Astyanax mexicanus: one gene and its partner. The protein of the gene in region 2 purifies or fractionates together with the protein of the main gene of each other region. This does not show direct contact. Links are inferred from orthologs where the notes say so. Each region holds a gene or a part of one and is shown on either strand. Other genes may lie near its edges.

Region 1 (12,361 bases), on a different chromosome or scaffold from region 2:
GCTCTGTTCTTTCTATCCTCTGTATGTGTCTTTTAAATTTATATTGCTGCCTTTTCCAATAAACATATTAATTATTACAATGACTGGGTGGCATGACTCATGTAATTTCTATCCAAACTCAGTGTCTTGTTTCTTCTACATTTGGCATTAGAAACACTCAACATTCCCAAGACCCAAAATTCACTGTTTCTATCACTAATAACACACTTATGAATGGGAAACAGGGGCTATTTAACTATTATAATTACACTCACCCTTCATACTCCAGTAACGTTTGCATCATCCGCAAAAACCTTGTATCAGCCTTGCTTGCTCCAACCCTGTACAGAAGCAGATGAGTTTTAGGGCAGACACACTCACACACACACACACACTCATACACTCACAGAGAGATCATACAGGAGAGAAGTTGTTGATTTTATACCAGCTGCAGTACCTGCACACTGTTCTGTATTTTACTCAGGGCTGGCCCAAGTCTTTACAGGGCCCTAAGCAGAATTTCATTTGGGCCCCCATCATACCACCGCCTCAACACCAGATTACTCATTATTCCATAAGATACACTGTGTGTGTATCATACCCACCCACTACCATTAGTACTGATTTTATTTAGATTTCATCATAGTCGTGTTATTCTGGCTATTGTGTAGCAAGCTCACAAATATTTTCAAATTAGTATTCACTTTTAAATACAGTGCGGTATATTAATTTAATCTATTTGAAAGTAACATCAGCAGAAAATACACTTTTCTTTCCTGTGGCTGTTTATACACATTGTGGATGTGTATAATGTGTTCACCTTTGGCCAGGTAAAATTAAAAATATAGCTGAACAACCCTTCAACTCTTACTGATGATTTTCTGTGTATATCATGACATAAGGTTAACTATCAAACATGCTATAGGTCGTTGACAGACGTGTGTACTATGCATAACATCACAAAACCGCCATGTTTAAGGTAACTATAGTAACTGTGAGAACTAACTTGCTTTTATAATCTTTTTTTTTAAAAGCAAAGTGAGGAAATAGTGTCTCCAGATGAGCTGAGCGAGGATAATTTTCATCTGTTAACAGCACTGATAAACACGACCTAATTATAAAAACAATATTCTATTTCTGCTACGTCTCAAACATTTTCCTGGATGTTACAGATAGTATTGTATTTACAGCACAAGTGTTTACATCTGTGGACACTTCGGAAACTAGAAAACCTACAAACCTTTTTCCATTTCAGATAAAGCACCAAGACAACATAGTCCAGCTGTCTTTACAGTAAAAGGTAAGCTGCTGTAATGAAGAAAAAAAATATATTTAAAATACACACAAAGCCCTGCATGTACTTGTCCACTATTTTAACCCTCTAATTAATTGTATTTTTGGGGAGAAAAAATAATTATTTTGGAGACTTTGTCTTATCATGACGGCCCTAACTAAAATGTGATAAACGACATATACGTAACATTGCCTTAACAAGGCGACAAATTAATATATATAGTTCTAGCAAGCTTACAACAAGAATGTATGAATATAGTAAGACAAATATACTTCTTCATATATTCTTGCATATATACATATTTTTATTTATGAACTTGGTACTTTAACGCCTCATAGTACTGGACGTAACTTAGATACGCAGGTATGCCTTGTAATATTATATTTAAAATAAAATATATAAGTTAAATACATAAATAAGGTATGCTATAGAGGGTTCATTATATTTAGGTTTCACACCTAAAAAATCCTTAAAACTCAGGCAGTGTATTCTTAACCGTTTGGTGTAATTTGATACTTTGAGAGCTTTTAGATAATTTACTTGGCACAGCTTGTTTTATTTTTATTACATTTTTCTCCAATTTAACCCAGAGTTTACTGCGTATTACACATTTAGTTGTTTAAAAAAACAACAATTGAGCCCTAAATATTAACAGCTTTTTAAAAAACAAATAATGTTAAGTCAAACAAACATCCGCGTGAAAATCATAATATATCTGCTGTATTCCTGAAGTACCGGAGAGTTAGCATTAGCTAACTTCAGAAGAGGAATAAACCGACATTATTACAGCACCATTAGAAGTGTAAGTAACCTACAATAAGGTAAAAGTGAATATACTAAACCGTCCTGATATCTTTAATAACCTAAGTTTATATATTTAACAGCTTACATTTTATTTTATTTGGTAGCATATATAATGCTAGCTAAAGGGCTTTTTGTTAGCTAGCCAGCTAACAAACATTCACAGTAGAAACTGAACGGAAGCCTAATTGGTTAATGATGAGGAAACTTATTGTTAAAGTTTAATATTTAAACCTACCTTAATCCTGCAATTTTTTTTCTCTTCCACAAGCTTCTTTTTTCTTTTCTCTGCTCCAGAGAGAAAATTCTTCACTTCTCCCATTATTAGCTAAGTATGTTATTATCCACCACAGAGCTGCTTAGCTACAGTGGCAGCAGCCAACAGCAGAATCTATTAACCTAATATTGGAGTGCCAACTACAAAAATAATATAAAAATCACTTTATATGTGTAATACGACTTTGTATTATTCAATGTTATTTTAACATATTTATATATTATATCTTGACCCTAAGCGGACATAATTAGAGTATGTCTTGGGCTCCGTTTTCACTGCATTTGATAAATCATACCTAATCCATTATAAGTACGAGTAAACCTTAATTATCAGAATTACATGATAATTACTTAAATATCCATTCTTTTTAAATCACCTGCACTTTTGCATTTTGTGAGTTTTAATAATATATTTCTTTCTCGTCACACCTCTAATTAGTATTGATGTGCCCTGTTTCCCAGCTCGTTTTACACCACAAAATGAACCATAGTAATGCTTAAAAAATAACAAAAAATATAGTATTTGAGAATTAAGACTGTACGACAGACACGTTTGTTTGTACACAATATTCAGTCTTTTTTAAACCATTATAAACAATTTACCCTTATTTTTCTTAAAATATCACTTGGTTAAAATCATCGGTTTTTACCAAAAATGTGTTTCTGCTGAGCAGCTTTAAACCAGATTATAGAACAAAGAAAACTCTAAACTGTAAAGAACCAAAACAGTTTATTGGTAACCTTTGTTTTACCCTTAAGTGTAGTTTTTTTTAGTGGCAGCAAAAGGGGTGAACGTTGCACTTCAGGTGAAAATAAAGACTAGGAACCATTTCTTTATATTCCAACGAAGGCATAAAATATAGTAACATGCTTTTTGGCTCTTACTCAAATATGGACAGTGAACAAATATTCTTGAGTCATTTACAGTAGACCAAATGTCAAAATCAACCATTTGGAGCAAAGATTTAAAAAAATAAAATAGTACTGATTGTTCAAACAGGGCGAAACTGGCACGTTTGTGATGAAACAAGTGCAAAAGTCCCAAAGTTATCCCCCACAGTTCCTTTACCAGGTCTGTACACACGTGCAAAAAACGAGATAAAATCATGTCCTAAATAAAAAAGGATAGATTTAAAATAAAAGACTGATTGCTGAAGCAAAGGGGATTCAGGGCTTATCCACAAGCAGCTCCGCGGCTGTAACTCAGAGCAGGGGCTCTCCAGCCGCGTGTAGCCAGGTGAGAATGCGTGTAGCCCGGCCAGCCTCAGTCCGTGTACTCGGTGTACTTCTTCGCGGATCCGTGCACTTTGCTGGCCGGGTATTTTCTCCGGTTGAGCTCCATCTTCCGCAGCACGGCCTGGGGCAGGTCCACCCGGCACTTCTCCGCCAGCTCCACCAGATAAATGCACACGTCGCTGAGCTCCTGGGCGACCTTCTCCCGGTCGGAGTCGCTCCAGCCCGGCAGGCCCTCGGAGACCTCCCCGCGCCACTGGAACAGCTCCGCCACCTCGCCCACCTCCCCGACCAGCGCCATCAGCAGGTTCCGCGGCTGGTGGAACTGGCTCCAGTCGCGCTCCTCTGTGAACTCGGCCTGCAGCCGCCGGATCTGCTCCAGGCTCGGCTCGGCGCTGAAGCTGAACTGCCCTCCCTCCGGGTCGGAGCGCTGCTCGGGGGTCTCCGCGGGCCGCGCCGCTCCGTTAACGCGGGCGGTTCCGTTCTGCTGAGCTTCCATGATCACGGAGTTTACTTTTAGTGATTAAAAAGAGGTAAAATAACAGATTCAAAACAAACGCGCAATGGGCAACTAACTCTACCTATGTTTTCACAGTGAAAAAGAGAGAAACTGACCCACTGCCTCAATGCTAAATGATTATAAAACAAAATGCTTTTTAAAATAAAAAAATAAACAATTAAACTGGCATTATTAGCAGACTCAGCACTGCAGCACATGAAAATCTCCCGCCAACTCTGCCTGTGCGACGGAAATGATGAAAGTGCATCACCAAGGAAGAGGCGGGATTCACGTGTGTATTTATCAGAGCCGTAGATACGGCTAAAAGATTATTCCAGTTAACCTAAAATATATTGAATCCTAAAAAGAAAAGAGTATGTACTCTATTTTTAGTCCTTCCCTATTAAATAAAAGTATTCACCTGTAAACGTACTTAACACTAAAATTATTATTTTTGTAAGAAGACTCTTGCTTTATTAACTCAAGATTCAAGGTGAAGGTACTATTAATATATCTCCTGGTACAGTAATATATATTTTAAACAGGTTCACAAATGAGTTTTAGATTTTTTATTTAATCTGTTAATTTTACATATCCAGGCACAGTAAGATTCGGTTCTCGCACGTGGGATCCCGACGTAATGCGTCAATACGCGGGGTGGTACTGTTGCATTGTGGGAAATGTAGTTCTCAGGAACTTCGCTCTTGCGCTTGTCGCTCTTCCACAGAGCTGCTAAGAACTCGGTTTCCCAGATCTCCCCGCGTTATAAACACTCAGCAATGGCTGCCTCCTCATCGGGACACAGCGCAGTAGTGCAGAGATTGTGTGGATTTATGAGATTTAGACATGTCTGCGGTGTTCAGCTGTGTAACCCCTCGATCAGCAGTCTGTGCACATCTGGATCCGCACGACAGATTCAGCCCAGCACTCAGAGTAACCGGTAAGAGAGCGGGTTTAGTGTTTCCTCTTCTCATCCAGGGGTCATCAGGGTCTGAATGGGCTTTATAAAGAAACCAGACCCACAGTGTTTTACTGTGAAACCCTTTATACTGTGGCTTAAAAACGCGTGACAGTATTTCTATTACTGTAGCAGGTTATACATGAATATTGTTCCTAAAATAATTAGCTTTGAATATTTCACCTAAATCTTCTCCTGTGGTAAAATCTCCCATAAACCTCCTATTATGCTGTTATCATTCTCAGGAAGTCAGGTTATTCGTTACAGTAATAGATTACAGTAATATATAAATATACATATTAAATCTGTAATTTATAATATGTTTAATGAAAGGCTTGACAATAAGAAACACAATTTATTGGTGAGTTTTAAATGTTGTAAAGTCTAAACTGAGGAAAACAAGATGCAGGATGGTTATAGACCAGCAATTTGTCTCCAGCCAAATCGTTCTTAAACAAATTAAAACTAAATTATAGAGACTGAGGACTATAAACACGCTCTTCAAAGATACTGACTTTTGAAACATCAGTTACATATTGTCACCCTCCTAAAATAATTACTTAAAATCATTTTTTGGCAAAATTGTCTTTTTGCCTAAATTCTGTCCGTATGATACTGTATGGCCACCTTTGGTAAAATCTCCTACACCCTCAGCTGCTCAGATCATTTGATTCTACCTCTTTCAGATAAAGGCTTAAGTCAAGATTGTGACTTAAGATAAGTTCCTTACAGCACTTTCTTAGTCATAAACTCATAAAGTCCCTAAGTGACATATACTAAATACTGTACTAAATTAAAAAACATATAAAAAAAAACAACATGTTTTTATACTAAAGTATAAAAACAAGAAGGCGGCATTAAAGGGGACGGTCACTGTATCATTATGTTCCCTAATATCACTAGCATTAGCATGCTGGCTAATTAATGTTTTATCAGGACTTCCAAAACCCTTAACATGTTGTTTGTTATTGCAAGGTTGTTGTAATTTGTTATATTAATATAATATATATAATAACAGACTGTTTTTCTGATTCATTAGTATTTCCCCTCAGCTGTGTGGGGTCGTTGGGCTGGAGATCCATGCACAGATCCACTCGAACTCTAAACTGTTCTCCAGCTCACGCGTGACCTTCTACAGCCCACCCAATTCATCAGTGGCGTTTTTAGATGCTTCTCTGCCTGGAACTCTTCCGGTAGGTTTTAGAGCTTTCAGGTTAAGGTAGAGATTCTGTATATAGAAATATTGAAACAATTCTAATTATGTAATTTAGAGCATTTTAGAGCACAAATATCTCTTTGTATAATGATTAATTGTATCTTTTTTATACTAAAATTCTAATGAAATGTTCAGTATTTAACCTTAGTCATAAAAGAAGTCATGAATTTTCATTTTACCATGGTACTAAGTCTGTGTTGTCTGCGCTTTGTATTTGTTTAGGTGCTAAACAAAAGGTGTGTGGAGGCAGCAGTGATAACGGGCCTGGCCTTCAACTGCACCATTAACAGGAAGTCTCTTTTCGACAGGAAGCACTACTTTTACGCTGATATGCCTGTGAGCATTTTTTTTTATTTTATGAAGAATATAAATCTAATGATTGTGTATACTACAAAGCAAACTGTGTGAGTATGTTTGTAGCATTTGTGGAAGGACTTTGGCACAAACATGGCAAATGTAGCAGTAGAACCTGTTGAAACTCATGCCTGGTGGCTCTGAGTGGTCCAGTGGACCGAGGTGTAGTTTATGCTCCCCCTGTGATCTGAGGATTGCTGTTTTTAAATCCTGGATCATGCTGCTTGCCATCAGCAGCCGGAGTCCGAGAGAGGACAATAGGCCTTGCTCTCTCTGGGTGGTTAATTGGCGCTCTGTCCCCTCATCCCTCCCAATGTAACGTTGGTCAGCACAGGCGTCTGTTAGCTGATGTATAAGAGCTGGGTTGCTGCACTTTCCTGGGAGTGCGCTGGATACCCGGTATTTCTGCAACACCGGCAGAAATGGCTGAGGTGGCTGAATTTGCATGTTGCATGTATGAGAAGACACATGCTAGCCTTTCACCCAAAATAGGATACAATAAAAAATAGGTAAAATTACTTTTTAACTGCAGCTTTTTTATTTTTAATTATGTTAGAAAATATAATTGTTAATATGCCAAAAAAACAATCATCATTGTTTCATCAAATAACAAATATTATCGTATCGTGAGATGTTCACTATCATCACCAGCATAACCTGCATGACTAAAATCAATGCAGGAGTCACCACACACACATCCCACAGGTCAGTGTAGTGTTCTTTACCTTCCATAGGACATGACAAAAGTCATGGGACACAATACTACTTCCTGTCCAATTACATTTGGTATATAATATTTACAGTGTGTTTAAAGCATGTTTAAAAATCAAGTAGCAATAAAGTGTAATTCCAACATACTGTATGTTGAACTAAAAGCAGTTCTGAGATTTTACAGACTAAATTAACTCTAGAATTGGTTTCTTTTTTTTTCTTCCAATATCTAAAGCAGTGCATTCAGCGTTGCAGTGTGACCAGTTGATTAAAAATGTTCTAATAAGATTACCTGCTGGTCTTTTTTCTCCCTGAGAGGCAGTAAAGACTTCTGGTAAGCAGTGACAGCCCCGCTGCTGTGCTGATAACTAGCAGAAAAAGCGAGAATAAGTGTCAAATATTGTTTCAAACATACGTGAGGAAAAGTGCTGAGTTTCTGCCCAATTCTCCAGTACCAGCAGGCCCCTGACTGGTTTTCACCCCAGCAGTGGTTTGGAATTAGAGTGGCGTTTGTGAAGCATGTCCGTGTGTCCTGAAGCTCTGCTGAAGAACACTGACTGTAATTAGACGTGTGGATTAGCTGCCAGGGTGCCGAGCCATGTTATTAGAGCTGGTAGAAACGTTCAGCGTGACTGCCGCTTTAATTCTGACACAAAGCCTGGATAAAGCCTCCGCATCTCTGTCACAATTAAACCGATAGTTTAGGTTTTTTTTTTTTTATAGTAATACATTTACACAGCCCTTATCTCGGACAGGGAGGTTAATAGAATTATTTTGATTTATCAAGATTTTAAAAAAGGGTAATGGAGATTGTACATCTTTGCATACAGAACTTTACACAGCAGGTAAATGTGGCCCAAAATCTGATCTTTTATGTTATATGTGGCACAGGGATGTCGTTTGTGTGGCAGTGTAAACAGCAAAAAGCACACTTGATCGTGTATTTAAATTTTCGAATTAGGCCAATTTATATTTGATTTGTGGCAATACAACTCAGTCTGAACAGCCAGATCAGAATTCATGTGACTTTTAAAAAGAAGAAGTAAAAAAGAAAGAAGAATTACACAGTTAAATGAATGAGAGTAGGCAGGAAAATGGACAACATCTTTGAGTTAAGGGCTTTAGTGGTGGAAAAATATCAGATATCTGGAAAATTTAATGTGTATTCTCCAATAATATTAGTCGCAGCCATACGGTGTTTCTAATGAACTGGCTGAATGCACTATAGATCATGGCAGCATTATAAAAAAAACAATTTGACCATGTCCAAATACTTTTCAGCAAGCACAACAAATTGTTGGTGACAAAATCAGCTGTCAGCCTGAACCCATTAGCTCATAGATTAGATTAAACTGAAACTTTACGTGAAGTAAAATTGTGTCAGGAAGGCAGAATTAGCCTCAATATCTGTAAAGGCAACATGTTAAACTGACACCCGTCTACAAACCAATCAGTGTGAAGTACAAGGAGACTCCACCCATGATGATGCTAGCATGATGATATCAGGATGTAGTAAAGTCACTTAACTACAGTGTTCAACCAAAACTAACTGGACTAAATGTACAAAATATGATGCAACACATACATGAACCTCGGTCCAGACTCTGGACTGCACTTTCAGGTGTGATAACATCTAATCCTGCTCAATAGTAGAGTTGTGCACCATTAGAATAATTTCCCGGTTATCGACTGTGTTGTAGTCCATGTTTTATTTTTCTGGCTTATTATTTGGCTGCAGTACAGATATCCAGTATACCCCAAGTGGATGTTTTCTCCTGCATTCACTAACCACTGATGATTTTCCCATTTAAATCTGGAGGAGAGCATCCTGAGGGACAATAAAGCAAAAAACTGTGTATCATTACTCTCCTTCATCCATCGCCTCAGCCTCGCAAATCCAATTTCTCCACTGCTCAGTTGCGTTTGTTTTTGTTGGTTCCAGTAATAAATTAATTGATTTGGTGGATTTCACAGATGGCGGTGTCTTTTTTCCCTGTGTATATGTTTTCTGTTTCTTTTGGCACGCCAATAACTATGATTAATGATCATCCTCTCCTTTTTCCCCCTCTTTTTTTGTTTCTTGTTTTTGTGGAATAGCAGAGGAGTTGCTATGGGAACAGTGTGTAGTAGTGGTGTAGGATCTTTTCTCTGAAGACCAAACGAGCTAAAGACCAAATTAACTGAAGACCAAACAGCCTAAAGAACAAAATACAGGTTTTTAGATTAGAGGTGTAAGAAAATATCAGTATATCAAGTCTCAGAATATTATGTTTTCAATCAGTACTGCATTCATTTACAAAAATATTTTAATAAGTCAATATTAATAATGATTTATATTACCATGTGCTGCCTTCAAGACGGGTGTCCATTTAGTTTTTTTAACAAAACAATACAAAATTGGTTGTAAAAGTCTGTAGTCCTGACTTATTCTGACTTATATAAAGAAAAAGCATGAAATACAGCTCTGGAAAAAAATAAGAGAGCACTTAAAGATTAAGAGTTTCTTTGATTTTACCAAATTGAAAACCTCTGGAATATAATAAAGAGGAAGATAGATGATCACAAGCCATCAAACCAAACTGAACCGCTTGAATTTTTGCACCAGGAGTAAAGGCATAAAGTTATCCAAAAGCAGTGTGTAAGACTGGTGGAGGAGAACATGCCAAGATGCATAAATGTGATTAAAAACCAGGGTTATTCAAACAAATACTAATTTCTGAACTATTAAAATTTTTAAAAATCTGATTTTTTTTTAAATAATGCATTATTTGAGGTCTGAAAGCCCTGCATATTTTTTTGTTATTTCAGCCATTTCTCATTTTCTGCAAATAAATGCTCTAAATGACAATATTTCTATTTGGAATTTGGGATAAATAATGTTTGTAGTAAAATTGTAAAATTAAAGAAACAGCAATGTTCATTTTATTTATACAAATACCTATAAATAGCAAAATCAGAGAAACTGATTCAGAAACTGAAGTGGTTTCTAAATTTTTCAGGAGCTGTATATTTTGGGTTTATGTTATCCACAATAAAATGAAATATTAAGGGTTTTTTTATTTGCAGTTGCAGTTTTTATCTAAAAGCAACCAAAAATGGTTGTCTTTCCAAAAAGCAATTGCAGCTAAAATCCAGCTAATTTGCTGTAAACATCCTGACAGCCATGTTTTTTATCTGTCAGAGCCTAAGTGCCCATATGGCAGGATTGTATCCGTGTCAATTCCAACAAATTCCTCGGATGGAATTGGATCTGCAGTTGGAACTTTCTGTGCTGGATTGGGCCTTTGGCCAAAGTGTTTTAATTAAAGTCAGAGTAATTGAAATGACACTGAACAAAATGTGGCTGGACTGTTTCAGATTAGGGAGAAAAACTGTGATGTGTGAAAACGCTGTTGAATATCCTGATATTGATGTGAAGCACAATAAAAAGGATTTTAAAATAAAATTAGTTTTTAGAGACAACTGCTTGACTGCACTAATTTTTCCATAATATAAGAAGTTGTTAGTGTGTGCATTCACTGTGGACCTCAACCTCACTCAATCTATACATCTCTCTACCTCGCTCTCTCATTTTGCCTCACTCTACCTCATTCTACCTCATTCATTTACTATACCTCCCTTTACCTTACTCTACCTTATTCTGCCTCTACCTAGTTATATTACATGAGCACGGTATTTCAGATTATAAAGTGTGTGTGTGTGTGTGTGTTCACTCTCAGGCAGGTTACCAGATCACCCAGCAGAGACTCCCCATTGCAGTGAATGGGTTACTGAACTACAGCTACTTAGGAGGGAAGAAGAGGGGTCAGGTGATGAGCAGGCGTGTCAGGATCAAACAGATCCAGCTGGAGCAGGACAGCGGGAAGAGTCTGCATGACGAGCAGAACAGCCAGACTCTGATAGACCTGAACAGAGCAGGTACGGCCTGCTGCTTTAATCCCACCATGCAGAGAATCAGACTGTAATAAAAGAAGAACATCACCTGTTCAATCTGTACACTCTTTTATTTCCATAACGTTTTCTCTCTTTCTCTCTCTCCATCTGTTCTCTCTGTTCCTCCCTCTTTTTTCACCTTCTCTCCTGCTGTTTCTCTCACTGTGTGTTTTCTCTCTCTTTCCTCTCTTTCTCTCTCGCTTATTTTATTTTCTCATGCTCCTTTCATGCTTGTTCTCTCTCTGTTTTCTCCACTTTCCCAATTTCCTCTGCTACCTATGTCCTATTTAACTTGCTCTCTTTTGCACTCTTTCTTTCTTTCTTTCTTTCTTTCTTTCTTCCTCTTACTCTCCCTCAATCTCATTTCTTTCTCATGCCTTTTCTTTCTATTGTTTTATCTCTCCCTTGCTCTTTTCTGTATGTTCTTCTGCCTTGTTCTCATTCTTTTTTTTCCCTTTGTCTCTTACTGTTTTCTGCACTTTCCTCTGTTCTTTTTTACCTTTTCTCCGCCTCTCTTTCTTTCTCACTTTCTGACACTCTTGTTGTCTTTCTCTCTACGCCTGTTGCTTTCTCTTTCTTATCGTCTCTCTCTGTCTCTCTCTCTCTCTCTCTCTCTTTCTCTCTCTCTCTCTCTCTCTAGGTGTGGGTCTGATGGAGTTGGTGATGGAGGCGGATATGAGTTGTGGTGATGAAGCTGCGGCGGCAGTGAGAGAGCTCCAGCTGATTCTACAGGCCCTCGACACCTGCCAGGGGAACATGTCTGGTTAGACACACACACACACACACACACACACACACAATAACTTGTGTGTTAAAGTCTGACCAAGTTTCTAATAAAGTGGCCAGTGGGTGGAATGTAGTACTGCAGAATAATTGTTAAGGACAGATGCTGACTGGCTGACTAAAACACTGATATCTAATTGCTGCAGGGTGTGTGTTTGTTTGTGTGTTTGTTTGTGTGTTTGTTTGTGTGTGTGTGTGAGAAGCAGAAGCAGTGTGTGGTGTGGTTTTGAAGCAGATCACACTGGAATCTTAAAGAGAGTAAATAATTGGTTTCTCCTTCATCTAGTTGCAGCTTGTCACGGCCCAGTCCAACCGTTGTCTTCC
Region 2 (13,236 bases):
TGTTTAAAAATGAATGCTATGGAAATGTGTAGAGTAGTTTTGGTACGGATGCAGATTTTAAGACATCTGTAAAGCCTGGATTTAAAAAAAAGAGAGATTTTTGTCTTTTACTATGTCTTTTAAGTTTTAAGATTGTTTTTCAATACACTTTTTAAATTCTCTTCTGTGTCATGATTTTTTTTTTGTAACTGTCACACAGTGTGAACAAATTTATTAATTGTTAGATATATATGCTTTCAAACAAAAAGCAACACATTAATTGACATTTTGCATATCGTTTTGATCCATTTGCCTTACAATGTTAGGTATTGATGGGTATAACTGTGGGGGGGTCCATTTTTTTGTATAACTAGTTTGTTAAAACAGAAGCTGAGAAATTAACCAGTATGATTTGGAAGAAATGGGCAGAAAAAAAATCAGTAAATGTTGAATTATGTTGGTATTTGGTTTCCGATCCAATCTAAATTCAGTCTAACTGAACTGTTTTAGACGCCCATCTTAAGTGTAGTGCTTAATTTAATATTTTTAAGTGTAATAGTCCAAATTATAATTGATCTGCCATAATTTTAGTACCATCTCCCATAAGTACATCCCTCTTGTGCCACATGAAACTCTATATAAAATATAGATGTATTACAGACAGAGTGATCTATTTTATGTGTTTATATCTTTTATTGTTGGCTTACAGTCAATGAAAACCCAAGAATTATTGTCTCCGAAAATTAAAATATTATATAAGACCAATTGGTACTGCTGGAAAACCAAATTCCCATCTCCATAAAAACAGCATGAAGTGCTGTAAGATTTTGTGGGAAAACAAAACTGCACTGACTTTAGACTTGCTTTTCTTCTGAGGACAACTTTTATGGAGATGGAAATGTGGATTTCATTGTCCAGCAGGATTTGGCACACTGCCAAAAGTGCCAACTGGACTTAATAGTATTACTATCATATTCTAATTTTCTGAGATACTGATGTTTAAGTTTTTATTAGCTGTATAAAAGTACCTCTATAAAGGAAACCTTTCAATTATATGCTACTGATGATTGGGTATTGGGCCCTCACTCTCGAGGCTCTCAACAACATTCCTTTGCGTTCCTTTACCTCCATGTCATGCCATGAAAAAAGGCATACAGAGCACCAGGGTCAGTTTTAAATCTTTATTATAAAATACAAAATGGGAACATTTACATAAACATGTATGCTGCAGATCGTTTCACAAACCACCAGTTTTTTTGTTCAACAGAATGCAGTAATCAATATTACATCATATCCTATTTAATGTCTCTAGTGTGTTTGCCCTTTAACCTCTCTTTAATGATCTGACCTCACCTCTCAGCAGACATGGTTCCACTAAAACCTTCCTCAGCCTCGCTCTCTGTAAAACTCAGACATTTAAAAACAGACACTGATTTCCATCCGCAGATCCAGTCGGGTGATCGTGCACCAAAACAGCGCTTGATTAAAACGTAGATTCAGGAACTACACAATGACGACGAGGCCACTGTTCTGTAACGAGAGGTCAGAGTTCAGAGGGCAAACAGCTCAGGCTGTTCAGACCTGCTCAGACTCAGGCTGAAGAGGTGCTGTCTCTGTCACATACATTACAACAGTTTAAAGTCTTCAACACTTAAAACACTCATTCACTCATAAGGTGCTTCTTCATTTCAGACGGTGCATGTGTGGACGTGTGTGTGTGTGTGTGTCTCAGTTCTTCACATCAGTTTTTTCTGACACTCGAGCAGCAGAGGGTATATCTGTTCCACAGCCGAGGCGACACTCTGAACATTTGGTCCTGGAGAGAAAGTGAGAAGAGGATTAAAAGTTCATACAGGTCATCATCAAAATGCTAATATACTGTACTAGTGCATCTCAAATAGTTTTTTATATCATTGAAAAGTTACTTAACTTCAGTAAAATGTAAAAATCATATTATATAGATTATATATAGACCAACACCAGCAGATGACATGTCTCTCCAAACCATCACTGATCATCAGTAAATTTTACATTTTATTTGTAAATCAAGAGACCAGAGTCTGGAGGAGGAGTGGAGAGACACACAGTCCAAACTGCTTGAGGTCTAGTGTGAAGTTTCCACCAATCAGTGATGGTTTAGAGAGACATGTCATCTGCTGGTGTTGATCCACTGTGTTTTATTATCAAGTCTAAAGTCAGTGCAGTTTTGTTTTCCCACAAAATCTTACAGCACTTCATGCTTCCCTCTGCTACTGACAACTTTTATGGAGATGTGGATTTCGTTTTCCAGCAGGACTTGGCACACTGCCCACACTGCCAAAAGTACCAGTCGGTCTTATATAATATTCCAATTTGTTTTCTAGTTTAATTTAAATGTTTTTTGAGATGCACTAGAATTTTCAAAATAGAAACTTATTAGGAGAATGGAAAAAATGAAAAACTAAAATGTATTCAGTTCTAATCAGATTGCTGAGCTACATTCCCATTATAAGCCATATTGATAAACTCATATTTGTTTGCTTGCATCATAGATTTTTGCTCGCATTCAGAAATGTGACCTAAACAGGACTGGGCAATAATTTAATTTCATTATATATTGCAAAAATGAAACTCTTTCAATCACACTGATATGATTTTTTAGTTTTATGACATTTCAAATATTTTTATGTAGAATATTTACATCATCTGTTGCTGACTAACATTAATCACAGGTTCCATTTTTGAGATGTTTTCAGATACAGACATTTGTTTTGGGCATACCACCATTTAATGTGTTTTTTGTATCAATCAATGTATTGTGTATGCAATATATTGTATTGTATGCAATATATTGTGAGGTAAATTGCGGTCATATTGTCCATGCCTAGGCCAAATCCTTGTTAAAAAAAAAAAATACACAAATTAATGGCAAATCACTCATTACTATTTTGTGCAATAACTACTTTTTGTGGCACTAAATTCTTTAGACATCTGAATCCACTTTTTATCTTTGTAAAATTTCTCAACAACAGCAGATCATTTGGAATGGCCTAGTTTTATATTTGCAACTGAATTATTCAAAACTTTGAGCATTGCTCAATTATATACACAAAATACATTAATAATTTGCAATAATTTCGCTGTATATTATTCCACTAACTGTAGATAGAGAACTACAAGTAGAGAAAGCTGTGATCAGCGTTTAACAGGCTAAATCAGTGGGTAAGTCTTTAAGTTATGTGGTTAATGCTGTAATCGGGTTACCCTCCATATAAATAACACAGCAACAGCACTCAACAAAGACTTGACAAATCCTATGGAATTTTCCATACATTTTAATTGCATCTGTAGGCTATGGAAGGACTATTAAAGCCGATATAAGCCTTTTATATTCTGCTTTATGTTCAACATTGTTATTATACTAATATATGGCAAATCTCAGGACTTGACTGGATCAGCCTGACTTGGCAGGTTTTTTTTTTAATTCTGTCCAGTCATGCTGTTAGTTCATGACGCGTGATTCGTTGGCCAGGTTTCCAGCCGTGTTCCTGGAGTACTCATTGCTGGGGGCACTTTAGTAAAGCATTGTAGTATATATATAAACATTGTTTAATAAATATATTTAGTTCCTAACATTTTGCAAATATATTTATTTAATATTTATTTGTCTCCACAGACATTATATATGTATTATATAGGTGCCTTGTCAAAATAAGAAGAGAGTCCTATTCTTTTGGCAATATTTATCTAAAGGGAATAGACAAGCTGTGTTTATGTAAATGTGCACACCTGGGTGCAGCTTAAAGTAGATGTGTGCATTCATTAGAAGTGGTGTCCTTTTTTGCTGCCTGATAAAAATGCTGAATCTGCAACTGTTCTAATTTTAATTCAGATTAAAACTGCCCAAATATCATTTTTATCATTATCATTAATAATATCAAAAGATCATGTTAGAAATTTCTGTACTATTTTAATATTACAAGCATACCTATTGTACATCCCATATTAGTAAAAGTGGACATGTTAAAACAGGAAAATACAAAATATACAGTTCATAAGGTTGTGCAGGACCAGGGGTGGGACCTGTGTATTATTTACCTGTTACTGTGATGCTGCCAGTGGAAAACACTTGCACTGTGGCCCTGAGGTTTTTGATTCTATATGAAGCAGCTGGATGAATCTCAGGCTCATAGCTAAAGAAAACAAAACAACAAAATAGAAAATCTCATCAAACTCATGAAAAAAAAAATAACTTAAGCCCAATTCAAGATACACAGAAACACACATTTGAGCATTATTCTCTTAGCAACTGGTACTCTACCTAATCTTCCTACCAATAGAGGGAGCTATTACTCTTCTTATACAGTGATCTCCTTTAAAGCTCTTCTTCAGTCTATAAAAATAGTGGTACAACAACACAGCCTTGTGGCCTACATGCACTCTACATGTTACTGCATTATAAAAAAAAAAACACATTACAATGCAAAATGCACCGAGATGTCCTGAAATGTTAAGTATGTGGTGTATTTAAGGCATTAAGCCTTCAAACCCTGTGTATATATACTACATCCACACTTTACTCAATCCTTCACCATTAAAACTACACTACTACCAGTTTACACTAATTTCATAGGCCCTAAAATAGAACCCTGAGGAGCCCAGTTACCACATATTTTTTGAACAGTGTATGCATTACGTGTACAAATTAATTTAATCATTACTAAATCACTGAGCTTTTTTCCTGTAGTTTGTTTCTTCTGTCCGGGTGAGTACTGGAAGCATTTTCCCCTTTGGTTTGGTTAGTTTTCACACAGGCACAAACCTAAATGCACCAAAATGTGTCAACAAACCACGTGAGCATGTGGTCTCCTCTGATTGATCAGTGGTATCTGGCTCCTGAATGTATATATATAATATTTGGGTCATCAGGAGGATGGATCAGGTTCTCACCATAAGCACACCACTTCGGAGTTCGTTTGGAACCAGTTTTTTACACCTGCCGAAACAAACTGTACCAATGAACTAGAATTCTTTTTACCCAGCCTAAATACTGCTGGTGTGAAAACACCCTACCTCTATTGGGCAGTGCAGCTGATTATATTATTTGTTTTGCATATGTGTGCTCCAAGTACTCCAATAGTTGTTTTATTTGTTGTCAGTATCACAGTTTTAGAGTGTTTCTACAAATCACAGTACTGCAAATCAAATTGATCAACAACTTTCCCCTCTGGGATTAATAAAGTATCTATCTGTCTGTTTGTCTGTCTGTAAAAATGACTGGTCAAAATAATGCAATAATACCCTCCTTAACATTGTCATTAAAATTGAGTAATACATTTGGCAATGTAATACAATGGCATATCAGAATCACAATTAACTTAATGCAAGCATTCCTCAGAGACGTGTGTGTGTGTGTAAATAAATAGTTGTACCTGGCGATGGGACGGTTGTTCTTAGTAAACTCGATGAGACGGATCTGGAAAGGCATGGAGCAGACTGCCAGGACGTTTACAACCTTAAAGTCCGAAAACCTCACCTGCAAGAAAGAGAGAAAGAGAGAGAGACACATGTGTCAGATTGTTTACCAATAGAATACGTATTAACAAATTCATACTTCACAATACTAATATGTATGTGATTAATATGCAGGAGTAATAAACTAAAGGTAAACCTTGAATCCTATCTTCTGGAGGCAGCGAGCTAACCTTCTGGCACCGAGTTTTGCTTCATCCTCACTGTAGAGAAAAATTATATTTACATACAGGGCTTATTACATGCTTGTTATTTGAAAAATGAAGAAATAAATACATAACATTTCTTTCATTTTAAGACCTTGTTGCTCCAGTGCAAATGATTTTCCCTGATGACCATATGGAGGCAGTGATTCGAGGTTTCCGCAGCTTCATTAGAACTTTCTACAAGGACAAGAAACACAAGCAATGAATAATGAGGCAGATTGTCCACATTTACCACATCCAAGATATTGAGAAAACTGAATACCCGGTACAGGTGTGTTAGGTGTTGGGTTAAAGCTAGAGACATGATACTGCTGTCTACAGATAACAGATATCAAAACTCATTATATCATTGTTTATCTTCTCTATCATCTCTATCATCATTATTACCTATATCCTCATTTCCTCAAAAAAACATTTCAAGATGGGTTAAAACGTTAATTACAGACCTAAATCTGCACCCATCAAATCCTGATGCCAGTTCCTCTTTAAACTAATTAATGTATGAATCTCTAAATTATAACCAGTAGAATTTGCTGGAACTTACTCCCACTTCTGGTTTGTAGATGACGTTAGTGCCCTCCAGGCCGATGGTGCGCAGGTTCAGATGGCACCTCGTCCTGAAGACAGAAACCACGTTGGTAATGATGATGTCCAGCGCCACATCGTTACTCTGTTCCACAGGTTCCATTAAGCTTCTTTGGACGGAGTGAACTAGGCTTTTTAAAAATACATGTCCCTTTAAAATATAAAACCTGGTGGAGAAATAATGACAGACACACAGTTACGCTATACATTAATGATGGCATGGTAGTTGATGTTCCGTGACTGCATGTCACCCTGTAAGCATAGCCTACCTAATGTAGGTGGTAATTTGCCATCAGGAGGCCCTAATGGCTTACGGATGCTGTTGCCATTGGTGAACCTTCTGGAGCTGTCTGCTTCCTCGACACTTTTCCAAGCATTACAGAAGAGAGTTTTAATGCACTGCACTGGAAGTGTAAATGTTTGCAACCTTGCTAATTACCATTACTTCTGAGAAAATATATTAATATTGTTATTATAATATTGAAGGATCTACTAGAAACACCTTTGTTGTTCACCTGAATTGTTAGTTTGTTAGTCTCTAAAAACATCTAGATTATTAAATGCAGTATATTATCACTAAATAGTGTGAACATAGTCTACCCTAAAAAATTGAATAAAAAAAAATAATATCTAGCAGCATCTATCTGATTGACCATCTTAGATTTTGGCCAGTTTGATGGTTTATCTGACCTAAAAGCATGATCTTTCTCACTAAGCAAGGTAACCAGCATGAATTGAATTACTGAAATTAAGTAACTTTTTAATTATATTCCAATTTTAATACAGATGCATTTGTACATACATATTATATACAGCTCTGAAAATAATTAAGAGATTACTTTAGTTTCTGAATCAGTTTCTCTGATTTTGCTATTTATAGGTTTATGTTTGAGTAGAATTAACATTGTTGTTTTATTCTATAAACTACGGACAACATTTATCCAAAATTCCAAATAAATATATAGTCATTTACAGCATTTATTTGCAGAAAATGAGAAATGGCTGGAATAACAAAAAAGATGCAGAGCTTTCAGGCTCATAGTCATAACGTTTTAAGACTTCATAAATCAATATTTGGTGGAATAAGCCTGTTTTTTAATAACAGTTTTCATGCACCTTGGCATGTTTTCCTCCACCAGTCTTTCACACTGCTTTTGAATAACTTTATGCCACTACTTGTGCAAAAACATTTTTGAGTGGTCTCTTATTTTTTCCCAGAGCTGTAACGTTATACACATAACGTTATATATAAAATAACGCTAATGATATCAAACCCATATATCAAGCAATAAGAGGATGTTAAGGCCGTGAAAACTATTGAAATATTTTATTCCCTCATAAATTATAAAAACACCTGTGCTGGTGGACAACCGCGTTTCCATGGCAACACGTTGATTACCATTATTAGCGACAGTCGCTAACTCTGGGTGAGAGTTAAGTTAGTTGCTGCTAGTTAAGACACGACATACAGGTTTTTGAGGTGCAGCCGGATTTAGTAAATAAAAAAATAGATAAAAACTGACTAGTGTTAAATAAGGACTTGGTAGAGATTTTACACACAGACTTGAAGAAACTTACGCAAAATTGGTGCAACCCAGCCCTGGACTCCCGCACACCAACCCCTGCCAGCTTCCTCAGAACACTGTGAAACATTCACATTCATGTTTTCAGACTGTGGAAAAGCCTTAAAGATTTAACCAGCAACTCTTAAAGAAGCAGAAATAAGGTAAACCAGCCCTGTTTTTGCTCATTTTACCTTTAAAACAGCTAACTAGCTAGGTTAGCTAACCTAACGTTATGCTAAGCTAGGTTAGCTGCACTGTTTAACTAACCTAGATAAGCTAAGCTAGTCTGTTTACACTACGCATTTCCGCATTTCGCGCCTTTTTATGCAGCTTAGACTTTTTTTTACAGATATTCCTGCACTCTTAACAGCAGCAGATATTTAATAAGACCCCTAATTATCTAATTTATCTTTTCCACAGTGTGTGGAAATCAGCAGTTAGGCTAACTTAGCTTAGCTAACGTTACTAAGGCGTTACTAGCCAGCTAACGCTAACAGTGCATCCCTGCACTACAGCAGCATCAGCAGTCAGAAATGAAGCACTTACTCGTGGGCGGGTTTGGTTAAAGCGGGCTGAGAGCTGCTGCTGATATCTGTATTCAGTGTTAATGCTGTAAACGCCGCGTGTCTCTTTTAGCTCCAGGGTTTAATAAAAACAGCATAACACTGAACAAAAGGCTCCGGAGTGAACACACACACACACACACATACATACATACATACATACAGACACCCGGCTACTGTTGTCATCACCGTCATGTCCTGTTATGGTGCGGGGAAGTGAGGCCTGCTAGCAATGCAGCGCCATGCAGTGGACTCGGAGGGTTGCTGACAGTCACTTATGTTCACTATTCGTAAAACCGACATGTTTAAGTTATAGTTTAAGGAGAACTCCGGTGTAAAATGAACTTTTGGTGTAGTGAACATGATAAAAAGTACTTACCTTTGTTGAATAGCCCATCACCGCCCTCCTACAGCTTTCTGAGATACAGTAATTTTGTAATCTTTCTGTACAATGTCCGTATCTGGGCATATTTTGCCCCAATAAATTGCTTTTTACACCGTTATCCAGTCTTAAAGTAGCTCCAAGCCTCCTTGCTAGAATCCGTAAAGTTGTTATATCCTGACATTTAAAACAATGCATTAATAACTTTAAAAAAGTACAGGAGGATTTGAGATGTCCTTTGTTATAATTGTGGACTGTAAATGTGTAAAGATTGAATGTATGTTGTGTTCAATTCTATGTTCAATTAAAAAATATATATAATAATAATAATAAAAAAAGACCTCGACCAAAAAAAAGGAGAGCAGGAGCCAGGAGGCAGACTATGCGGAGTCTATGTGTATGCCTGTCATTGTCAGTACAGTAATGGTGGCACACGGAGCTAAAAGCTAGCAGCCCAGGATGTAAACATTGTTTAGTAATAAGCTTCTTGAGAAATTTTTAGGATGTTAATGCCTCGTTTTATTGTGTTTTTTTTTTTGGATTCTAGCAAGGAGGTGTGGAGCTACTTTGAGCCTGGATAATGGTGTAAAAAGCCCCGATACGGCCTTGTACATAGTACAAGGGGGCAAAAAAACACAAAAGCTGTAGGAGAGCGGAGGTGGGCTATTTAACAAAGGTAAGTACTTTTTATCATGTTTTACTACACCCAAAGTAAATTTAACACCGGAGTTCTCCTTTAATGCAAGCTATGCAGTACAAGTACTAGAAACAATCATGCTTTTATAATATTTGCAGACTGTAAAGCAAAAAAACAAAAAACATTACATTTTGGAGAAACAGAAGTAAAATAAGGAAATTGAGAGACCTCATAACATTACCTGTATTTTACAGAGATTATCTTATGTACACCTGTGAACACTTCTGAAACTAGGCTATTAAACCCAAAGTCCAAGCCTTTTTATATGTGGCATTGGCAAGGGAAAACTACCCTGAGAAGAACCACAGTCTGAATGCTCCTACAGTAAAGCTTAAGTAAGATTCTATAATCAAGGAACCCTGTGCTTAGCACTGCAGACTTTACTATTTTTAAAAATATCTGCATATTTACTAAAGCTCTGTCTGTACTTGTCTACTATTTTAATAAAGTTTAATTTTAAGAACGTATTTAATTTCGAAAATCTTCACAAAATTATGGTAAAACAGTGTCTCGGATTAGTAGAGGCCCAAATGTCTACAAATGTGTGCTTGGAACAGCAGATTTCACTTATATTACATTTTCACCATTAAACCAAGTGTACTAATATATTACACATTTTGGCTGTGAAAAAACGACTAGAGTCCTAAATCTAATCCCAGAATAAAACAAAATACTGTGCAAATAAATAAATTAATAATCAATGTCATGTTTATGTAATGTCTGATATATTTACCAGAAGAACCAATAGTTTAATTTCTGCATATCAATTTTAGGTTTACCAGTGATTGGTTAGGAATTGCTTTTATCTAAGCATACATGGTGCTTTCCTGAGGAGAGGTTTTCCAGGTGCTTCCACAGGCATGGCTTTTCTTAGGTAGCTGTTAGCCTAGCACACATACCTTCCTGCTTTTTGGGCTTTAGTTAACTGGTTTGGTGAGTTTGAGCTCCACTTCTGTAGACACTGGCACTGGAAAAGCTGCGGTCAGAATGGTTGAAGATGATTCAAATTTAGTAATCAATTTTCTTTTTAATAGAAACACAACAGTGTCTAAGGTTCACTGTTTGTCACTTCTATGTACGTAACAGTTATTGTTCAGCTATGCTAAGGAAAATAGAGATTTCTATTTTAAGGCACCTTACAAACATTGTTAAAATATTTGTGATTGGCTTCACCTGTATAATGAATTAATAATTACATGGGTTAATATCATCAGATACAGGCCAGACTGTATCTCTACAGGATGTAAACGTGTCTAAGACCGGTTGGCTGTAAAAAATTGCACTTTTGCCATGAATCCAGGGATTCGGGACGCGTCCAACACAGCACTTAATGAGGTTTGTGTTTGACACCCTTCCTGTGAAAGGCTGTGGCTGCAAGACACTCTTTATTCACGGCTTTCCACGGCTGTGTTTATTTTGTCCTGTCTCAGGTCCAGTTTTGGAGGTCAGCAGCTTTTTGTCCGAAGTGGACACATCTGGTCTGACTGCATTGTTTGTGGTTTGCGGTTTTTGGAAAGGTGACAGCGGGATCTAAGCAGTGGCCCTGACACGGCTGGGCCGAGAGACTGGTGCTGAGGGCTCTCAGCTGTTGTAGTGCACCATGAATGAGAGCAGAGTTAGAGTTTACTGAATGAACTCTGTCTGCCCGGACCCATGCCTCTGTTCTCACAGTTTAACTTTTAAACAGATGGTGAGCATGAGAGATTTGGGGATTTTGCTTTTATTTGCCCATCATTTGTTATTAGAATGTGTTTATGGAGACATATCAAGTTCACACAGTGCATTGCTAGCGTTGGATGCACTTGTATCTCTAGATCTGAAATTGTGAATTACCGAAATGACAATGTTCTCAACTTTAAAATGACCATGGTTTTTCCAAGCAATTTTGGACCATTTCTGGTTGTTTATTAAGAGTTTAGACCAAAGACTGTAGAAAACATGAACATAATTGTTCTATTCAATTGGTAGACCTAACGTCGTTTCCCCAGACCAATAATATTTCAGAATTTAGTCTATTGGAGCAGAAACAAAGCACCTTTTTTCCACTGGATGTTCAGTTTGTAATGTTTCAGTGAAATGTTTCAACAGAAAAGATGCAGTTTACACTACAAGTTCCACTACAACCCTGCTAATACATGTAATGTACAGAAACACCTCTAAATAAGTAATTTTATTCATACGTGTATCCCCACATTTTACAGCATAGCAGAATACAGATTTTAAAACTGATTATTGGGGGAAAATGTAAAAAAAAATTAATATATGGACAGGACAGATAACTGTTGGAATTGGATACTGGACATGGAAATACAGTTTAGAGGAGAAAAATGATGGCAATGGCAATGGGTGGAGCTACACATCATACTGCAACCAGCCAGCAGAGGTGCACCTGTGGTGGCTTTACTTTAGGAGATGCTGTCCATGTTTTCTACAATCATTGAGGCCAACCATTTGTTGGATCCACAAACCAAAGCCTTATTCTATGGCACCTTTGAAGTTTAGCTTTTTTAAATTAATGTTTTTTCAAAAAATGTTTTTTAAAGAAAAAAACTAAATGTAGTAATGAGTTGAGTTCGAAAATTTACCGAAAAAACACATTCTTCTTCTCCATCCTCCCCTCTCTCTCTCTCTCTCTCTCTCTCTCTCTCTCTCTCTCTCTCTCCCTCTCTCTCTCTCTCTCTCTCTCTCTCTCCCTCTCTCCCTCTCTCTCTCTCTCTCTCCCTCTCTCTCTCTCTCTCTCTCTCTCTCTCTCCCTCTCTCCCTCTCTCTCTCTCTCTCTCTCTCTCCCTCTCTCTCTCTCTCTCTCTCTCTCTCTCTCTCTCTCTCTCTCTCTCTCTCTCTTCCTGCACTGGACATTTCCCAAACACAACAGCACAATAGCTTTGGAGTGATTCAGTGCTGTTGTTTGGGTCCTCCTTGGTTACCAGATAGGCTTTGTGAAATCTCAAGGGCCACTCTGGCAGAAATATACTGATGTAAATAAAATAAATTCTGCTTGGAAAGCCCTGTAGAGATGTCCCGAGCTGTTTACTATAAAGCCTGAGATTTAAAGCAGGTTAGTCCAGTGTCGGACCACAAGCGTTGTCCCCCCTCCGACCCCCGCCCTCCTCCTCCCTGCCGCTGCAGCCTTCAGAGTCTTAAGAGTGTTTATAGACTATAAAATAGAACTTAACGTCATTGAAATTCTCTTCCTGAGAGAAATAATGCAGCGTTCATTAAGATAGAAGATACATAAACAGGCAGCAGAGAGAGTACACATCCTCCATCACTCCCTCTGCTCCTTCTGCTCCTCCGAGAGTTCAGCCCAACGACTGCACTCTTTCTTCTCTCTTCTATTGTCTTCCTTTTCATATATCCTTTTGTTCTCTTATCTTGTTCTATCTGTTTTCTTCTCTTCTCATATTTTCACTTCTCTTTTCATCTCTTCCTTTAAATTTCTCCAGTTGTTCCTTCTTCTTGTTCTCATCTTGTTTACCCTTTTTATTTCTTTTCTTTTTCTTCTTCTTCTTCTCTTTTCATTTCTTTCCTTGTCTCAGTTGTTTTCTTCTTCTCTCTTTTTCTTTGTTCCTCTCTCTACTTTTCTCTTCTTTTTTCATCATTTTTTACTTCTCATAATTTTTACTTGCTTCTCATCTTCTTTTTTTCTTTCCCTTCTTTTTTTCTCTTTTTTAACTTTTCTTTTTTCTTTCTTTTTTCATCTTCTGTTGTGTTTTGGTCTCCTCTCTTATGTCTTATTTTTTTACATCTC

What was found.
Region 1: the proteins of eya4 (region 2) and dctpp1 purify together in Homo sapiens (affinity purification with mass spectrometry; 3 studies listed by BioGRID and IntAct, with this or other methods). This does not show direct contact. The link is inferred for Astyanax mexicanus from reciprocal best matches to the Homo sapiens genes EYA4 and DCTPP1.

The regions. Positions count from the first base shown.
Region 1 is NC_064432.1:20,654,406-20,666,766, forward strand, and holds dctpp1 (glutamyl-tRNA(Gln) amidotransferase subunit B, mitochondrial), read right to left. Parts: upstream 4,357-12,361; 5' UTR 4,083-4,356; coding exon 3,615-4,082; 3' UTR 3,062-3,614; downstream 1-3,061. Other genes in the region: gatb (glutamyl-tRNA(Gln) amidotransferase subunit B, mitochondrial), read left to right, coding at 4,862-5,022, 6,080-6,233, 6,479-6,592, 11,041-11,239, 11,895-12,017. UniProt on the Homo sapiens protein: Hydrolyzes deoxynucleoside triphosphates (dNTPs) to the corresponding nucleoside monophosphates. Has a strong preference for dCTP and its analogs including 5-iodo-dCTP and 5-methyl-dCTP for which it may even have a higher efficiency.
Region 2 is NC_064420.1:44,140,848-44,154,083, reverse strand, and holds the start of eya4 (eyes absent homolog 4), read left to right. Parts: upstream 1-7,870; 5' UTR 7,871-8,007; intron 8,008-8,392; exon of another isoform or gene 8,393-8,595; intron 8,596-13,236. Other genes in the region: tbpl1 (TATA box-binding protein-like 1), read right to left, coding at 1,716-1,795, 4,057-4,151, 5,391-5,494, 5,630-5,693, 5,791-5,873, 6,241-6,384. UniProt on the Homo sapiens protein: Tyrosine phosphatase that specifically dephosphorylates 'Tyr-142' of histone H2AX (H2AXY142ph). 'Tyr-142' phosphorylation of histone H2AX plays a central role in DNA repair and acts as a mark that distinguishes between apoptotic and repair responses to genotoxic stress.